Linked DNA regions of Arabidopsis thaliana. The protein of the gene in region 1 binds, or shares a complex with, the protein of each later gene. Each region holds a gene or a part of one and is shown on either strand. Other genes may lie near its edges. The genes, in order: MYB3R-3, E2F1 and RBR1.

Region 1 (5,301 bases):
TATGTTCCTGATCAAGCATCTGACTTTTGGAGAATAACATGATACCCATTGATGACATATGGTTTCTCAATCAATTTCTGATTCTTTTTTCTCTCTCTTCATATAGGAAAAGCAACAAAAAAAAGCTGAGGAAGCAAAGAACGCGGCTCCTCCAGCCACAGCAGTGGAGGCGGTACGCCGAACGCTTGATAAAAAGGTTAGAATGTCAGCTTCTTTGATACCTTGATACTTGAAAACGAATATGCAAAAAAAGATAAACCGAGTATGCCATGTATCATCTGTTAAAAACCTGGCCTGGAAGTACATAGTCAACAACATGGCTGTCGAAATTATTAGCATTGAAGAAACTTTAGAGTCTGTGTTTCTTCCTTTTTCCTGATTTTGAGTGTTGACTCTTACAGAGACTTAGTTCGGTGATCAACTACGATGTTTTGGAGTCGCTATTTGATACATCCGTAAGTTTTTGATTACCTCTTCTTGTATCCTCAATTCTCATCACTTTTTGAGGTCTTTACAATTTTGCTTCTCTTTTCTTCTTTCAGGCACCTGAGAAATCACCCAAGAGGTCGAAAACAGAGACAGACATTGAGAAGAAGAAGGAAGAGAACAAGGAAATGAAGAGTAATGAACATGAGAATGGTGAAAATGAAGATGAAGATGAAGAGGATGAAGAAGAAGGCAATGTAGAATCATACGACATGAAGACAGATTTTCAAAACGGCGAGAAATTCTATGAAGAGGACGAGGAAGAAGAAGAGGATGGTAATGATTTTGGATTGTATTGATGATATGTATTGTGAAACACAAGAGTTTTAATTTCTTTTGTTTTGCCGGATTAGTTGATTTTATTTGCATTAATATAGGAGAACCCCAACTAAATTTATTCTTTATTATCAGTAACAAATATTTAAGATTTAAAAGAAAAAAAAGTTCACACAAATGATCTATTTATTTTTACAATTCAAGTGGTACTGACTAAGAAATGAAAAACCACTAACTTAATTAATTTAATAAAATCTATATGTATTTAATTTTGATAATTTTATTTTCCTTGTTTATGATAATTCTAATTTCTATCAGATAACAACTAACAATCACTGAACTTATCTCACCTATTTGATGAGCTAAATGTATTTTAAATTTATTTTTCTATAAAGATATAACTGAAACAAAAGTGATGACTTTTTATGAAAATTCCCAAAATCAAATACCAGAAAATTCAATTTTAAACAAAATGTGTCGGTCCGGATGATCTTACATCTAGCTTGGTTTTACAGGATAGTATTTAAGAAGAATCATAAAGTTCATCTCAAACCAAATCCGACGGTCCAGAGTCACCTGCAAAGCTTGGCATCGTATACGTGTTCAGTGGTCAACGGATCAGCTACGAGTGCCGTTTGAGGTTCAAACTTCTGTTTCTGAGGTTAACTCTCTACCGTTAACGTCCGTTAGTGTACCTTCTAACCTTGACGACTTTTCCACTTTCCAAAAGATAACGACGGCGTTAAATTGGTCTATTTTACTGAACCAGCTTTAACCAGAATTAGATTGCATTACATTCAACTCGTGCTTATGGATAAATATCAGTTCGGTTTGGAGAAAATAGGTTACTTAAGGTAAAAAGAACGGCAAGTAACGGTGTGACGTCAGCAGAAGAAGTATTCGTTATAATAGTGAGAGAGAGAGAGATAAAACTTAGGGAACCCTTTTTTATGTTTTATTTTCTCGCTTTGTTTCGATCAAGTCTTCTCTTTCTCTCTCTATCCCTCTCTCTCTGGTTCAACGGGCAAAGTATTTTTCGAATAAAGTTTTGGTTTTTTTTTTAACGTTCCTTTCGCCTTCTTTCTTCTTCTTCTGCTGGTGAATTCGTGTATCTATCTATCTCGATGAGCTCCACTTTTAATCCAGCCGCTTCTTCTCCAGATGAGGTTAGTTTTTGTGTATCGAATCTGAATTTTTAAGGGTTTTGTTCTTGTGATCAGATTCTAGTGAAATTGAGTTCTTTGTTGTTTGGCTCTGATTCGAAACGAATTTAACTTTATTGAAACTATAAATTTTTGTGATTACAATTGTTATAAACCCTAATTTTGCTGTGGTTGGTGTTAATGTTGAGCTGTTTACTGAATTCGTGATTTGTGAGATCTGGGTTCTGTCTGCTTTGTGTTTTACGATGATTGCTTTTTTAGGGTTTCTCTGTTTCTTATCAAAGTCTGGATCTTTTTTTTCTTTCATTGAGATGATGGATCTTCAGGAAGAAACAGGTGAAGTGAAAATTGAGGATCAGTGTGTAGAAAATAAGCAATCAACACCTGCTTCGTGCTCTTCTGTATCTGAAGGCAGTGCTGGTAGTTCCCACAAGTCACCTACAATTGCAAGTCCTGCCACAGTATCACCTACTCATAGGTACCTCGGGTTAGTTCGTCTCCTTCTTCTTCTTCCTTGTTTTGTATCTCCTCCGCAGCACTCGTTTGCGAATTTGCATCTTTTCTACAAGAGATTGATGTTGATAGTGTTTGGTATGCAGGAGGACGAGTGGCCCTATAAGGCGAGCCAAAGGTGGGTGGACTCCGGAAGAGGTTAGTATTGAGTATTGACTAGTGATTGCTTTTGACCAATATCAATTTTGGATCAGTAGTTCGAAATTCAAGATGTGAGTTGTTTTACTTAATGCAGGATGAGACATTGAGACAAGCAGTTGACACGTTTAAAGGCAAGAGCTGGAAGAACATAGGTAAGTCTCTTCTTCTTTTTAGATTCTAGTTCTCATATTAACAAGAGTAATGTCAGTGCTACAACATACTCCATAGATTTGTGGTTCGAATATTAAAGTTGGAGCCTACTTGCTTACAGTAACTATTAGTTCCATACTCTTGTCTCTGTAGTTTTATGAGTTACTCTTGTATGTTAACTTGATCATCTGAGGCTGAGCATCTAGTAGAAAGACTTTCTTTTACGTTTGTTTCCGTTTTGTTCCGTGAAGCATTTAGTATTGTTTGAATTGGTGTATTCATTTTTGCAGCGAAATCTTTCCCTGATAGAACTGAAGTTCAATGCCTGCATCGGTGGCAGAAAGTTCTAAATCCAGACCTTATTAAGGGACCTTGGACACATGAGGTTGATTCTGTTTCTGATTTTATTTATTATTTGGCTTCATTTTTTATGTGAAATACGAAGGCTTAAAGTTTGTTGTTTTGCAGGAGGATGAGAAAATCGTTGAACTGGTTGAAAAATACGGGCCTGCGAAATGGTCTATTATCGCACAGTCTTTACCAGGTCGAATTGGGAAGCAATGCCGAGAGAGGTAGTTAATTCATATGAGCCAAGCATTTTTCTTATAGTTATATTGGAAGCTTTAATGTGTTTTGATATGTATGCAGGTGGCATAACCATTTGAATCCTGATATTAACAAGGATGCTTGGACCACAGAGGAAGAAGTAGCTCTCATGAATGCTCATCGAAGCCACGGAAACAAATGGGCTGAAATTGCTAAGGTCTTACCCGGCAGGTATTTTTACTTTTCTTGGCATGCGTCATTGGAGTTGAGACTTTAGAGAAGGGTTAGCTTCTGGGTTTAATGAAGGTTTTACTTAAAACTTGCTGCAGGACTGATAATGCAATAAAGAACCATTGGAATAGTTCATTGAAAAAGAAGTCAGAATTCTACTTATTGACTGGTAGGTTACCACCACCAACAACAACAAGGAATGGTGTTCCTGATAGTGTAACCAAACGTTCATCGTCTGCTCAGAAAAGGGTTTTTGGTTCAGTTGCTCAAACCTCATCAGTAACTACAGATGTAAACAATCTCGCTGAAGACGGAAATGGCCAAATAAACTCATCTGTTCCTGTCGAAGAAGTAGTAGCTGCTTCACGAATGACTAGTCTTAATGAGTATGCTCGTTCTCCTCAGTTGCCTAACCCAGAGCCATTGCCAGAGAATGGTGGAGCTGCAAATAATGGTTATCATCTGTACTACACGCCTCAAATAGACTATTACAGGGCGTCAGAAGTGGATACGCAGCGTATGTATGGGAATGAATGTGGTTGCAGTCCAAGCGCATCACCAGTTAGCTTCTTCACTCCACCGCCGTGTAGGAATGTGCACAGTAACGGTTCGACTCCAAGAAGTCCTGAATCTTACCTGAGAGAAGCTGGTAGAACTTACCCAAACACACCATCCATATTCAGGAAAAGACGACCCAGGGTTGTTGTTCAGGATAACAACAACGCCAAGAAAACAGATGAAGCTAAAGAGGTTGATCAAAAGGTGAATGATGGTAAGGATAGTTCAGAGATTCAAAATAATGGATCAAATGCTTACAATCTATCTCCTCCATATCGGATAAGATCGAAAAGGACAGCAGTTTTCAAATCAAGACAGCTTGAGTTTATATCTAGAGAGGAAGAGAAAGCTGATGATGAAACCAAATCATCTGAGAAAGATATGTTGATTGATGGAGATTCTCAACTCCTAGGCTAAACAGTGACTAGATGATTACACGCTGAATGTTGTTTCATTGGTTATATTTTTATTTTTGGGTTAATGTTAGAGATGTTAGATGTATTTAGTCCAAAGAATAATTTACACCTCATAGTTGAGCTAGGTTTTTTTTTTCCATAACAAAAAAAAGATCTTCAGTAGTGGGCCATAGAAATTGGTGCATGTTCTTGATTATTTGATTGATATGCGTCTTTGATTATTTGAACATTGAATCATTCGTTCACCGATGTGAACAATATCACTCTGCTTTGAATTTTTTTCTAAATAGACTTTATGATGTCATTATTCAAACGGGTAGGTAATTTACAAATCATAAGATAGTTTCACATTGACAAAAGTGTTTTAGATCAAATCAGCTATATTCTTTGGCAACTCGTCAATCTGAGTACTGTAGTACTGCTCAATGTCCCGGAGAATCTTGATCTCGTCGATTTTAACAAAGTTGATTGCAACACCCTTACGTCCGAAACGACCAGACCGTCCAATACGATGAATGTAGAGCTCACGGTTGTTAGGGAGATCATAATTGATGACAAGAGAAACTTGATCCACATCAATCCCACGTGCAAACATATCTGTTGTGATCAAAACGCGACTTTCACCTGTCCGAAACTGATTCATGATCTCGTCTCTCTCCTTCTGAGGCATGTCCCCATGCATTGATGAGACAGTGAAGTTGCTGCTCCTCATTTTCTCACTAATATAGTCCACTTTTCGTTTTGTGTTGCAGAAGATAACAGCTTTAGTGATGATAAGTGTGTCGTAAAGATCACATATTGTCTCAAATTTCCACTCCTCT
Region 2 (6,194 bases), on another chromosome or scaffold:
GTCAGAAATTCTTCGACTCACTTTCGGTTTCTGATGTTTTGTCTCTCTGATTGAAAAAGGTAAAATCTCTTGAATCTATATCATATCGCTAAGCTTAATTTGCTGGCTAGGATTTTACCTGATTTTTTGGGTATATAGTGATGATAGAAATTTGAAGTAATTTCTCCAGTTTTCTCATTGATTTAGGGGTTTTAAATGTAGACTTAGTATTCATGAATGAGTTGATTTCTAATTGATATTATCATGTTAATCATCTTGAAGAATTGACCTTGAATTGGTGGTTCATAGATGTCTCATCTTGTACAATTTATTTGCTCGAGGATCTTATGATTCTTGGACATAGTGGAACAAAGATAGCTTTAAAAATGGACGCTGAGATGATTACTTGGTTGATGTATAATAGTTTGGTCTCTTAATTAAGGTTTTGATGGTCCTTAAGGTTAGTGTATAGCTTCTATAGAACTTTTTAGTCTCTCCTTTTAGATGGTTATGACGAATTGACGATTGTGTTATTCACGAGATAATTTGCATCCGAACATGTAAATGTTACACACTTGCAATATTGGTGTGCATGGAGAAATTATAGATTGTGTTAAGTGTTAATCCCAAAATGCATCTGCTAAAAGTGTTGCATAATCATCTTGTTGACTAGATAACTTGTTTTTGTGGTTTGGACAATGTGACGATACTATATATGATGTATGTAAAGATCGGGTTTTGCAAGATGGGAAACAAAGCTACAACGGTGAAAGAAGAACGCGAAGAGATCCATTTGAAGATTGTACCTCCATTGGACAAAGTTTTTCTGCGTTGGCTCGCAAGAGATCTCCAGAGAGTTCATGGATTCAAACCGAAGAACAACACTCGTGCGATCACTCCTCCAGATAGCTACATCGAGTTTATGCGGTTAAATGGATCGCTTGATGTAGATTTAGATGACCCTGATCTTGCCCATTTGTTCAAGTAAAAAGGGGTTCTTCTATTGTTGTCTCTGTTTGTTATGTATGAAGCTTTCAAAGTCTTAGTATCTTTTTTGATTACTCATACAGTCATACTTAAAGCTTGTGTTTTGGAAGCTCAGTCTATAAATATATATTATCTTCTCTAAACAGTATAGCATTCATAAGAGATCCAAGTGTCTGCATTCAGACGACACATGTTTCTATTGTCTTGGTGCTATGATTTGGAATCCCTATGTTTCGAGGTTCCATTTAAAAAAGTTGTTAAATGATGAGACACTCATGAGCATAATTTTCATCAATATAGTTTTGCCTCACCTATGAATTAAAAACAAAAAAACGTATAAGTTCGACAGATTTTGACGATAATTGCTCACACTTAACGCGTGTAACGGATGCTGCAACAGTTTGATGAAATTATTATGCTCCACTTCTTAACATGAATAAATCCAAAATTCATTTTTTTCCCCTCAATCTCAAGGAAATAAAACTGTATCCAAATTAGTTACATAGCTTTATTAACTTCGTTGACTTTAAAAAAAAAAAAACTTACTTAAAATTTTATAATTTTGTATTATATATAAAAATAGGATTATTATTATTTAGTAGAGAGATATTGGTAAAAAGATTTGTGTACAAAGAGAGAGATAAAGAGCGCTAATTCCCTCCACATCAGTATTCAGAACCAAACGCAACTCATTCCCTCGTTTTCTCTCTTCCTCTTCCACCGTCTCTTTTTTTTTTTTTTTTTATAATCCTTCCTCTTCTTCATCTTCTTCTCCTCTCCCGCTTTTTTTCGATTCGCCGATCTCTTCACATTCTCTTCCCGGAATCTCCGTAATTCCCGCCGTAGATCTGCTTCTTAATCGTTATTGGGATCTCTGCTTACCGGAGATCCGAGTTTCCGTGACAATTTTCGCCGTTTCTTTTTTTTTTTGGGGGATTTTTTATCGAGATTCGTTCTTATGTCTGAAGAAGTACCTCAACAATTCCCATCTTCTAAGCGGCAGCTTCATCCTTCTCTTTCTTCTATGAAGCCTCCTCTAGTTGCTCCTGGTGAGTATCACCGGTTTGATGCGGCGGAGACTCGCGGTGGTGGAGCTGTTGCTGATCAGGTTGTCTCTGACGCGATTGTGATCAAATCTACTGTAAGTCTTTTTTCTTCTCAATTTTGCTTGTGAATTTTGCTTTATAATTCTCGTGTTTTCGATTGTGTGTGAGGTTTGGTTTTATTGATTATGATTTTGATGATGTCGTTGCTTTAGATTTTGATGAGAATTGTGTCGGGATCTGCTTCTGTTGGTGTTAATTGCGTTTGGTCTCTTTTGATTAACCTTGTTTGTAGTATTGGAATTAGCATTGCAAGTACTTATTGAGTAGTTTAGTTGCTGGACTTAGGGTTTGTGGTGTTACTGTTATTGCTATTTAGAGCAGATTCATGCACTTTTGTGTTTATGTTTAGTTAAATTAGTTTCTGAATTTTGCTATGTTGGAATTGGTAAAAGTTGTGTCTATGCTTTTAGATTTCAGCATAGTGACAGTATGATGCTGATAGGATTTGATTCTGTTCAATTCGTTGATGTATTTAACTGTTCAATTTTGGTGACTTTATTGGCAGCTGAAGCGTAAGACAGATTTGGTAAACCAAATAGTTGAGGTCAATGAATTGAATACCGGTGTTCTTCAAACACCTGTATCAGGGAAAGGGGGGAAAGCCAAGAAAACTTCTAGGTCTGCGAAGTCTAATAAGTCTGGAACGCTAGCTTCTGGCTCTAATGCAGGTGAGTTTGGTTCTAAATGCTCTGTGTTAGTATGCCAATGAGAAATATTTCTTATGTGCTCATCTGAGCTAAATCTTCTTTAAAGAGTGGAGATATTGCAATGTAGTGAGAAGGATCTTTTGTGTTGGCAGGTTCTCCTGGAAATAACTTTGCACAGGCCGGTACTTGTCGATATGATAGTTCGTTAGGTAATAACTTATTTCATTAACTAATGTTTAAAAAATGTACTTTTGGATAATAAGTTTTTTTAATGATTTAATCTGCTTCAGGTCTTTTGACAAAGAAATTTATCAATTTGATAAAACAAGCAGAGGATGGTATTCTTGATCTAAACAAAGCAGCTGATACTTTAGAGGTGACATATTTGAACTCTAGACTCCCATATTGATGTATTACTTTCTGTCAAACTTAGCTGTATGTTCCTGTTGATGCAGGTACAAAAGAGAAGGATATATGATATAACCAATGTGTTAGAAGGAATAGGTTTGATAGAGAAGACGCTTAAGAACAGGATTCAGTGGAAGTAAGCATGTCTTAGAACTGTCAAATCTTGGATTCCTTCCATTTGATGACTCATGTGTGAGCGACAGTACTCTGAATTTTCTTGTCTGTCTTAGGGGTCTCGATGTCTCAAAACCAGGAGAAACAATCGAAAGCATAGCTAACCTACAGGTACAGAACATGCCTATATATTCTTTACCTTTTCATTGCACATTTCACTGCGAACTCTGTTATGCAATGCTCAGTATTATCACCAGTTTTATTATTGTTTTCACGTTAAGGGTATATCTTAGCTTGCATTGTCTTCTTGAACATCGTATGAATCTGCATTAGTATGATTCTTGTTATGCCTGTTTTCTGAGAGCTAAATGTGTTAGGAGGTAACTAGGATACTAGTAAATTTACCATACACACAAACATCGATGACATGTAACCACAAGCTCTGTTTTGTATACCCGTACTGGCACCTTTGAATGATGAGTTTCTGTTTTATGTTTGAACCTGTTGAATAAGTGGAAATTGGTACTGCAGTTTTTCTTCGATCTCAGTCACTTGCATTGATTTCTTGTTTTGGGTTTTTGGTTCGAAAAACTATTCATGTTTTATAATTCCTGTTACCAATCTTACAGGATGAAGTACAAAACCTCGCAGCTGAGGAGGCAAGATTAGATGACCAAATCAGGTATTTTCGCAGATAATTTTCCTTCCCTTTTCTGCTGTTTTGTATCATCTTTTTGAGAGTCGACCTGGTTGCAGAGAATCACAAGAAAGATTAACAAGCTTGAGTGAGGATGAAAACAACAAAAGGTAAGCGTCCCCTGCTATTTCTTCTGCCGAAAGGTACAATAAAACATATCTGTTTGTTCTGACGCTCCACTTTTTAGGTTACTGTTCGTCACTGAAAACGACATTAAGAACCTACCATGCTTCCAGGTCTGGTCTCCTTCTAGTAATTACGTGTTTCTCTTTGCCTTGCATTCTTCTCACTGGGGAAACATGTTTTTGTGGTGCCTATTTTAGAATAAGACGCTGATAGCTGTAAAGGCACCGCATGGAACAACTCTTGAGGTTCCAGATCCTGATGAGGTAAGCTTAAGAGCGCACAAAACCAAATGAGCGATGCACTGTCTGTAACGATTCTCACCTCTTATCCTGCCATTAATCAGGCTGGTGGTTATCAGAGGAGGTACAGAATCATTCTGAGAAGCACAATGGGACCAATAGACGTGTACCTAGTCAGGTAACACTGTCCTCAAACGTTATGCTTGCCCTGGATAAATCTGTAACATGGAAGTGAGACTGACATTTATATTGTGCTTTTTTAGTCAATTCGAAGAGAGCTTTGAGGACATTCCTCAGGCTGATGAACCTTCAAATGTTCCTGATGAACCCTCTAATGTCCCTGATGTACCTTCAAATCTTCCATCAACATCTGGTCTCCCTGAGAACCATGATGTATCTATGCCGATGAAAGAGGAAAGCACCGAAAGAAACATGGAAACACAGGAAGTTGATGATACGCAAAGAGTTTACTCTGACATCGAATCTCATGACTTTGTCGATGGTATCATGAAGATTGTTCCTCCAGATTTGGATGTAAGTCCCAACTGCTTCCTCAGCTTAAAATTTTCACCAATGTACATAATCACAGTCTGGAAAAGTAACCATATCTAAAAAATCATGCTTGACTTAATTCATATTTACCTGTATGTTACATTATATACAGATGGGTGTAGATTACTGGTTTCGATCAGAGGTAGGCGAAGTCAGCATCACAGACATGTGGCCAGATGAATGTATCCTTGATTTCTATCACTTTCTGTGATTTAATCTAATCTCTCTTTGAGCTTTTGAGTTTTTTCCTCCCCAAATATGATATCTGTTTAGAGCTCCTTGACTCTTTCATCATTAGCTGGACCAGACTGGAACCAGATGATTACATTTGATCAAGACCACGCTGGACCGAGCGACAACAAAATCTTGGAGCAGCCACAAACTCCATCGAGCCCAACACCAGAAGAATCCACTGCTACGAGATCACCTACAGGTAGCTGAAGTTACCATACCACATTACAAGCACCACCATATATCTGTACATAGAATCTGATTTCGGTGAAACCAGAGTTAATGTTGTACTTGTACAGTAGCTGCATTGCATTATCATAGAATAGAGATTGCAAAATAAAAGTAGAGAAACCAACCCCTTCGTTGTATTCTTCATTTTTTTTCTTTGTTAGCTTCTCAGGCTTAATATAGAATTAGCCTTAGCCCATTGATTTCTTAATATTGGTCTTGTTCATGTGAAACTGCAAAACCTTTTAGAGTTGTAGACGGGTGCTTAGTAGTTTTACATGCTCCATTTCCGGTTTACCAAAAAGGTAACCAGATCGAAACTAAAACATATTTCCGTTCATCAAAAATCTTGACGAAAACATATTGGTTCGGTTGTGGTTTGAGAGATTTCTTTTTGGTTCAAATCGGTTTCTATGTCCAATCCTTTGATATCACTCGAGATAGTTTCTTACAAATGATATCATATATAACTTTGAATTCACCTCAAGATGGTATTATTTTCCTTAAAAAAGAAATCCATCAAAATTGTGCATCTCCAAAGCAATGAGCAATGCTGAATCTCCAAGCTAAGTTAAATGAAAAAAAGGTTCCTCTTTTAACAAACTTTCCCACACCAACATCCTCACTCAATAATCTCAACTTGTTTTCTCTTCCTCTAGTAAAAAAAAAAATGTCTTTCAAGAAGATGATGAAGTATATACTCAAAACCATATTCAAACCCATTTTTATGGCATGCGGTTGCGGCTCTACCGTTCCACCTTCCTCTCACAGCCACTACACCCCGGGACCACCGGTTTCTCCCACGGTTTTACGCAGCCCATGTCCTAAGATCGATGAGAGCGTCGCGATGGCTAAAGAATCAATCAATCCGTTCGAAGAT
Region 3 (7,977 bases), 1.0 Mb from region 1:
TTGAGAAAGTTTTGAGAAATATGCTGGAGTAGTAAGTTATTCTGAAATCGACATAAAGTGTTGTTTTGCGGCGTAAATTTATAGAGAGCTAAAAAGGTAAGACAGACAATTGTTCAGACAATTTGTTGGTTATAGTTAATTGCTTAACTGTACTGTATATGTTCCAAGTTAAGTAAATGTCACAAATTGTTTTTTTTTAAAGTGGAAAATAAATTTAGTAGATGGGACACCGAACACAGTTAGAAAGAGTGAACAAGAAAAAGACATTTATTAATGCTTATTAAGACTGACTTAACTAAGATAAAAAAAGAAAAAAGAAACAATAAAGGGATCCATCCGCTCATAGCCTGAGGTGATCACTATAAACTAGAAAGCTAAACATAAAAGCAAACTCTGCAACATAAGGATTTACAGATGCTATAACTGAAGAGAAGTTGGTGTAGCAAGTAGAGAGAGATATCTATGAATCTGTTGGCTCGGTTTTAAGGGGTGCGGCACCACCTGAGGACGATGCATCGCTTCCATTTTGGTTTTGATTTTGGTTTTGGAGGTTAAGGCTATTTGCTACCATGGAATCGCTGACCATCCCTGCTTCTGCGTCAAAGTTTAGCGTCCTCTTGCGGTTGCTGCTGCTGCTGTGACACCAGATGAAATTGGATTGGGTCAGTGATTGGTTTTATGGAAGAAGCTGATGAGAGACGTGATTTTTCTACTTACTTGTTCAAGCGGTTGTTGATGGCAGATAGGTCCTTTGAAGGGCTCTGGTAAGCATGTGTACTCTCTCCAACACAAGCATAGTAACTCTTTGTACTGTGTGAAATAAGAGCATCCATCTGCAAACACACAACACATGGAAGGTAACCAAACAATCTTGTCACCTACCTCCTCCTCAAGACTTAGTCATATCATGATAAAGAGTTAAGCACTATGATCTTCTTTACCTTTGATCCCCGAAGAGGAGAAACATAAACATTGTGCACTGCAGATACTTTTTTAGGGGACATGTCTGGAACACTTGGAAACACAGACACCTTTGGCGATCCGGGACATTGACCTGTGAATCCAAAATAAGACGATCATTTAACTTAGGGACTAAATTGATAGACAAAGCTTACATCTAACAAGTATCTGGCCTTTCTTAACTACCTTCAGGCTTATTATTGGCTTCCACAGCCCGGTCGTTTCTTACAGGACCTAGCTCCACCAGCAGCGGCTTTACGGCAGGAATAAATATTTCATTGTAGAATGTGATGATGTCAACATGATCTGGCCCTATTCTCTGTTCAAGTCATTGTCACAAATTTAGTCTTCTCCACCGAGTAAAGAAACTTTTCAGCATAAGGTTAAGAGTGTATATATACCCCTTGACGGCGACATTGTAACGCATCCACATAAACGCTGCGGAAAACTAATGGTTTACACTGTGGTTGCTTCCGGTAGTTGTATATGATTTCCCTGAAAGTCAGGCTCATTTGGGATATCTACAAGGTGATTCATGGAAAAAGTGTAAGTGTAAGAGAAGCCATTGTAAACCAGATGACATATAGTTAAACCCTTTGAATCACACTACTCACCTTGGCCACTCCGTAGAAGCAACAGAGAATGATCTGGTCAATGTGTCGACTGAATAAAAGAGAAGTCCGCTGAGCAAGTACATGTTGGAAGAAACAATACACACTCTCCCTTATTTGCTGTGAAAGTTGTAGTCTTTCCACCATTCCATTGATTCTTACAGCAGCCAATTTATTAATCTGGGAAGAGCCACCACATTTAACACAATTCCCAGCCGAAAATGAAGAATCAATACCGTGTTTTGTAGTACATCATCTAACCAAACGATTAGTAGTAGATCCAAAGATCTCACAGACCTACCTTTGTGAAGAAAATATTGATTCCAGTTTCTGCACAAGTTTCTCCTCCACCTCCTGGGTTGGGCCGTGTTGGGCTGTAGACATAAATCCGAAGAGGTTACTTAACAAGTACAGGGACAACTAGATAGGTAAACTAACTCTCCATTTCTACTCATAGTTACTCAAAATGTACCTGGCAAATGCAGACTGCAACGGAGGTGGCAGCATCTTGGATTTAACGTTGCCTAAGGCCAACAGACGATCCTTTACTGGTGATGTAAAGGAATTGCGTTCAACTAGAATGCTGCGGTAATCAGTACATAATCTTTTGGGCGATCTAATCCCCCCATTTTGTCCTATATGGCAGCAAATTTGACAATTTTTGGTAAGAAAATCATACCATTAACAACAGGTTGGAAAACTGCTTTAATTCAGAAACAAATAAAACTACCTGGACAAGTTTCATGCTTTTGTACAGATGATGCATGATTTGCTCCGTCAGAGAAATTAATAAGTGCTGCGATTGCATCCAGAGATGGCATTGGTTCAGCTAGTAAACCGAGCTGATTTATCTCCAATGCAAGCGATGGCCTGGCAACAATCAGAGAATTGTACATTGAAGAGCCTTTCTCCCATACCATACTCTCTAGAAGCCGTTCCTCCAGTGAATTCAGATGTCGTCTCAACTCTCTAGGCAGAGAATCTTCATGTCGTATGAAACTCTCAATTACCTTGCTGAGATCAAAGGCTGTGATCCCAGTCCTCTCCAGAACAGCTGGGAACAACATTGTAATTGTTTTGTGGGTAGCCAGTACCAATTCAGCTGAGCAAGCAAGCATGCATCTATGGAACCTCTCATTTGTCAATAAAGAGTTCAGATTATTTGCATGCAAAATCTGAGCTTCTGCTTTACACATTGCCTCAAGAACTCTGTAGTATAACTTACAAGCTTCTAATCTGCGCTGCTCTGCCCATATGTCATCCATCAGGTCAACAGCTTGCAAACTTCCACCTCCACATTGGGCACCAAGGGAACTATTTGGGAAAATAGCTTCCAATATTATGTGTGCTCTTCGTGTGACGTCATTTGTTATATCCCTATCACATGATTTAAGGAAATGTTCCAACCCAGGAGAAGGTTTTGGCAGAAGCGGGGATATGACAGTCCTGAGCCACTTGGCAGTTGTCATTGCTGTGCTCACTGGTGTTGCTGCCAACTTGGTAGCACCGCTAATACCATTTGTCTTAGCAGCAGGCGACTTATGAGGAGAAAGTGGGCTTATAAATGTCCTTGCAGGTGAGCTCAAAGCATCAATTTTCCTCTTAACACCAGTAATATTAACAGCTCCTGCAGATAAGCTTCCAGATCCAAGTAAGCTATCCTCTTCATTGATGAATACCCTCTCATCAAGTTCGCCTTTACCATCATAGTAATCCTTTTCAAGTGTAATTAAGCTAGTTGAGATGGACGTCTCTTCCAGTAAATCCTCAAAGTAGGTCAAGCCATCTGCAGTAAAACACCATATAGATTCGAAGAACAATCAGGCAACTGTTCAATGAACTCACATGATTCTTTAATTGAAGAAGGAAAATGATTTTAGACCAACCTGGGTCAATATTATCTAGCTTGTCAGTTTGGCACTCAGATGCTGGAGATGGCTTTTTCTTCAGTATGGTTTCTACCAAATTATTTGCCTTGTCAATTACTATCCTCAACTCATCTTCTGAGGCGTCATATATCTTGCAAAGTGATGCAACCAAGTCTACACCTTTGTCACCTTTCTTAACTGAGATTCATCACATAAATGAAAATAGATGATAAACATTCTATGGTGCCATGGTTATCGGGATAGAAGAAAAGATAAACACTCACCAAAGCGAGAAGAATCTTGGATGCTGAAATTTCTAAACCGACAAGGAACATGTATGATCAAAATAGCCTGATAACATGAAAAGGAGTTAGCCTATACTTCAATTGCGTTATATTAAACGAAGCATCTTTCAAGTAATAATGTACAGCAAGACTAAAATGAATGAAAGATTAGGGAGAGCTCCACAGGTAGTCACTAACCAATATAGAAACTACGCCATTTGAGCATGTCACGAGGTCCTTAAATCGACTAAACGCATGGTTTCGGAGTGCCAAAAAGAGTAGCCATCCAAAACGATAACTATCCAGCAAATAGGTAGAAGAGTTTGCTGAGTTCTTTTCTGCGTTTGCATCATATGTCAAAAAGAATTCCCGGAACCCACGTTTGTAGTATCTGTTACCAAGGAAAGGTACCAAAAACATCATACTTTAACATGTCCTTAAAACAATTCACAGAATATAATCACATGAAAACCAGAAATCTGTAACTCTAAATCTTAATTAATTTAAAATTGAAGGAATATTGCAAGCCCATATTCTGATTATTGCATAGGAAGAAAATTTGCTTCTAAGTTGCAGGTCCAAAATATGAAATCTATGTCAATAACTATTCTTACACAAAACAAAGATAAATGTAAAATAGGAAGGGAGCTAAACTCACTTGCTTAGAAGGCTAAGATGCACAAAGTTAGCCTGCACCTCCTTTGCCTAGTAAGTAAAAATTAGTTAATAGAAGCATATTTAACAATGATATAATAGAAGTAGAAGTATATTTAAAAGATGTTAGTCAAAACCTGAAGTCTGTTCTCCCAGTCTGCGCCGTAAAGTTCACCCAGTACAGATCCAGCCTTGACCACAAACTGAGGTAACTCTTTAAAAAAATCCACAATACTATAAACAGAAAAGAGGAAAATCGTCACTACAAATGAATTTAAGAATGACAAGGAAGGAAGAATTGAACACTACTTACTTTAGCTTCAGAGCCCTCAGTATCTGACATAGATTAAACTCATTATCACCAGACACTGACAGACCATCCGCTTCTTTTCTCACACTAAGCCTCTTCACTGAATAGAGAATAAACGCAAACCAGAACCTCTCTACTTCTTCCCGCTAATAAGAAGAAGAAAAAAGGATTTAGTCATAATGAAACCACAGTTAACTGATAAAAGAGAAGTTAGAGGAAAAATGTATTTCACCGTTCCACTTCCAATGTTAGACATGCTTGCTGACAAAATTCGTTTGGTTTCTGTAAACAACTTCAAAGCTTCATCGCAAGTGCTCCCATCAAGAGACAGAACTTTCTGCAATAAGAAATCAACTACAGGGATTAGAGCTAGTCCTCAAAATTTCCGAGAGAACTCAAATGGTATCTTCAACTAAACAAATGCAACTAGATCAGCAAAGAGAAGAGTAAACCTCGCATATGTCCAAGAGAGAGGCTTCGCTTCTTTTCCCATTTGGTTCAATGGGCGGGGTCACTGGAGGCTGAACTTCTTCCATAGTCTCCAACGCAGCTGAAAACATGCAAAATCAAGCTAATTTTACTTCCAATTAAACTGCTAACTGAAGACGAAGAAAAAGGGACTTTTCAAGCAAAGAGATTTGTTAATTTAATCACACTGAAATTCAATAGGAACCATGCCCAACCCATTCGGAAGAACACACTAACAGACATGAGAAAACAAACTCCCAATTTCCCAAAACATGGCAGAAAGACAAAATTTGGGGGAAAAAAAGAAGAGAAATTGGGGCATAATCTAAAACCCACCACTCCGGAAAAATTTTACCCAGATGTTATCTTAAATATTCATTCAAAGTTTTTCTCTTTTTTGTTTTTGGAGAATTCTCTCACCAACTTACAATCGAATAGCGAAATATCAATAGAAAATTTCAGATAAACCACCTAGAGGATAAGATTTCAAATCAAAGGATAGGCAATAGAGAAAGATCTTACCTTTTTGTGTCACAGATCCCAATACCAGACGTCGCCGATTAAAGCCTGAGCAGAAGATCTGATTTTTAAGAAGCCCGACTTCTAACGCCTCCTCCAAAAAATTCGACAAATTCAGAGGAATCACAGAGATCTCCGAAAACCCTACAAATTTTCCCTCCTCTCAGTGTCTCTCTCTATCTTCACCTGACTTCCCTCTTCTCTCTCTAGAATGGGGTCTGATTATGCGGCAAACCCTAAAAAAGGATATATCTCGCGCGGGAAAAACAACACGGAGAATACATACACATACGTATACAATTATATTCGCGCGCTTTCAACCACTATTAAATCGACACGTACCCATCTGTGACCCAATTTTACCGCCAAAACTTACTTACTGTTGCGTGAAACGCTGAGAGGGAAAGATTCGCCGTCACGGCGGGGTCGAAACAAACGGAGTGGGCCATTAACGCCGTCTGGGTTTTCGTGACCGCGACAAAGCCTCGTGTGAGTTATGATTGGGCCCACCCTTAATACGATGCCGTTTCTAGTTTAGGTCACGCGGGAAATTACATATTTGCCATTGTAGAACGTTTGGTTGCAGAAGTATGAGTGTCCTATCCGCGGATGGATTCAGATTAAGTCTTCTTCGTCATCTTCGAGTGTGAGTGGATCCAGAGAGAGAATTAGATATTTCCGACACGAGGCAAATTCCTAGTGGCTCATGGCGTCATCATCTGATCACACGGCGAAGATAATCGACGGCAAGGCGATTGCTCATACCATCAGATCAGAGATCGCCGAGGAAGTTCGCGGTCTATCTGAGAAACACGGCAAGGTAAACGCATCTTATGAATCAGTGTCCTAATCTTGACATGTCTCTCCTTATAATTCTCCGTTCTTTTATAAGATGATAGCACTATTGAAAATTTACTCTCTTTTAGCTTTATGGTTTAAAATGACTAGATTTAAGCAGCTATGATCACAACCTTCTATTGAAAATGCTTAACAGGGTCAAATGTAAGCTCCATTTTAGTTAGATCACTGTTATTTTGTTTCGCTGGATTTTTGAGCTGCCTGCATTACTTCAAGTGGCATACTATCTTATTTATACAGATAGTGTGTGCTAAGCTTATAATGTTTGATATCATTGTAATAAAATAGAAGGAACGAGAGTATGTGTAATAAATGGTTTAGTGCGTTTGTTCAGTTGCTTCAGTTGGACCCCTTTATATAGTTTCAAGAATGTACGAGATTCAATCGAATCTGATTTTACCTTCATGCAGGTCCCAGGACTAGCTGTAGTTATTGTTGGGAGCCGAAAGGATTCACAGACCTATGTGAATACGAAGAGGAAAGCGTGCGCTGAGGTTGGGATTAAGTCATTTGACGTGGGCCTACCAGAGGAAGTTTCTGAAGCTGATCTTATTAGCAAAGTTCATGAACTAAATTCAAATCCGGATGTCCATGGTTAGTTGTGGCGGTAAATAATACTTGATTTTGTATGTCTTCTCGGTTATCATTAGTCTAAACTATTAAGGATAGATAGAAACTTTAATGTCTATGCAAGTCTTTCGTTTTGGTATAAAGCAAACATTCCTTGCTCTCCTGTGCTTATATAAGCTTTGGTGTTTGATTTGCAGGCATATTAGTTCAACTCCCATTGCCGAAACATATTAATGAGGAGCATATATTGGGTGCAATCAGCATTGATAAAGATGTCGATGGCTTCCATCCTTTGAATATTGGTAAGCTAGCCATGAAAGGCAGAGAACCCCTCTTCCTTCCTTGCACCCCAAAGGTACTTCTCCTTTTTTTGCATATAGACTTCAGTCTCTTTCAAGCGAGAAATCTCAGTGTTCTGTTTTTCTTCTGTATCAACTATGAGGTGATTTTCTGTGTGTGCAGGGATGTTTGGAACTCCTAGCTAGAAGCGGCGTAAAGATAAAGGGGCAACGAGCAGTTGTTGTAGGTCGGAGTAACATTGTTGGTTTGCCCGTTTCACTTCTTTTGCTCAAGGCTGATGCTACTGTCACAACTGTACATTCTCACACCAAGGATCCTGAGGCTATCATACGGGAAGCTGACATTGTTATTGCTGCATGCGGACAAGCCCACATGGTGATTTTCATACATTTTCATTGTCATTTAGAAGATAATTTAGTCTACCTCTTGTAGATCAATGTGAATAGTTTACAATTCAAATATACTATCGTTTTGACATTTCAGATTAAGGGCAACTGGATAAAGCCAGGGGCTGCAGTAATTGATGTTGGAACTAATGCAGTCAGCGACCCGAGCAAGAAATCAGGATACCGGTT

What was found.
Region 2: MYB3R-3 (region 1) and E2F1 share a complex: the UniProt entries of both Arabidopsis thaliana proteins name them as parts of the DREAM-like complex.
Region 3: MYB3R-3 (region 1) and RBR1 share a complex: the UniProt entries of both Arabidopsis thaliana proteins name them as parts of the DREAM-like complex.

Annotation. Positions count from the first base shown.
Region 1 is NC_003074.8:2,877,648-2,882,948, forward strand, and holds MYB3R-3 (myb domain protein 3r-3), read left to right. Parts: upstream 1-1,705; 5' UTR 1,706-1,886; coding exon of another isoform or gene 1,887-1,928; 5' UTR 1,929-2,170; coding exon 2,171-2,412; intron 2,413-2,524; coding exon 2,525-2,576; intron 2,577-2,673; coding exon 2,674-2,731; intron 2,732-3,019; coding exon 3,020-3,114; intron 3,115-3,197; coding exon 3,198-3,301; intron 3,302-3,377; coding exon 3,378-3,506; intron 3,507-3,604; coding exon 3,605-4,481; 3' UTR 4,482-4,708; downstream 4,709-5,301. Other genes in the region: AT3G09360 (Cyclin/Brf1-like TBP-binding protein), read left to right, coding at 107-196, 402-455, 543-785. UniProt on the Arabidopsis thaliana protein: Transcription factor that binds 5'-AACGG-3' motifs in gene promoters. Transcription repressor that regulates organ growth.
Region 2 is NC_003076.8:7,358,825-7,365,018, forward strand, and holds E2F1 (E2F transcription factor 1), read left to right. Parts: upstream 1-1,710; 5' UTR 1,711-1,924; coding exon 1,925-2,107; intron 2,108-2,577; coding exon 2,578-2,740; intron 2,741-2,871; coding exon 2,872-2,928; intron 2,929-3,009; coding exon 3,010-3,095; intron 3,096-3,174; coding exon 3,175-3,263; intron 3,264-3,357; coding exon 3,358-3,412; intron 3,413-3,870; coding exon 3,871-3,923; intron 3,924-3,997; coding exon 3,998-4,048; intron 4,049-4,125; coding exon 4,126-4,174; intron 4,175-4,261; coding exon 4,262-4,327; intron 4,328-4,407; coding exon 4,408-4,481; intron 4,482-4,566; coding exon 4,567-4,837; intron 4,838-4,967; coding exon 4,968-5,037; intron 5,038-5,153; coding exon 5,154-5,296; 3' UTR 5,297-5,681; downstream 5,682-6,194. Other genes in the region: AT5G22210 (aspartyl/glutamyl-tRNA (Asn/Gln) amidotransferase subunit B), read left to right, coding at 725-967; OFP10 (Ovate family protein), read left to right, coding at 5,865-6,194. UniProt on the Arabidopsis thaliana protein: Transcription activator that binds DNA cooperatively with DP proteins through the E2 recognition site, 5'-TTTC[CG]CGC-3' found in the promoter region of a number of genes whose products are involved in cell cycle regulation or in DNA replication.
Region 3 is NC_003074.8:3,913,211-3,921,187, forward strand, and holds RBR1 (retinoblastoma-related 1), read right to left. Parts: upstream 6,150-7,977; 5' UTR 5,678-6,149; intron 5,238-5,677; 5' UTR 5,224-5,237; coding exon 5,140-5,223; intron 5,025-5,139; coding exon 4,920-5,024; intron 4,834-4,919; coding exon 4,691-4,833; intron 4,612-4,690; coding exon 4,515-4,611; intron 4,429-4,514; coding exon 4,382-4,428; intron 4,115-4,381; coding exon 3,922-4,114; intron 3,791-3,921; coding exon 3,724-3,790; intron 3,638-3,723; coding exon 3,458-3,637; intron 3,358-3,457; coding exon 2,302-3,357; intron 2,207-2,301; coding exon 2,044-2,206; intron 1,946-2,043; coding exon 1,873-1,945; intron 1,752-1,872; coding exon 1,575-1,751; intron 1,482-1,574; coding exon 1,362-1,481; intron 1,280-1,361; coding exon 1,147-1,279; intron 1,055-1,146; coding exon 942-1,054; intron 834-941; coding exon 718-833; intron 636-717; coding exon 461-635; 3' UTR 139-460; downstream 1-138. Other genes in the region: AT3G12290 (Amino acid dehydrogenase family protein), read left to right, coding at 6,381-6,494, 6,943-7,126, 7,300-7,457, 7,565-7,777, 7,886-7,977. UniProt on the Arabidopsis thaliana protein: Key regulator of entry into cell division. Acts as a transcription repressor of E2F target genes, whose activity is required for progress from the G1 to the S phase of the cell cycle.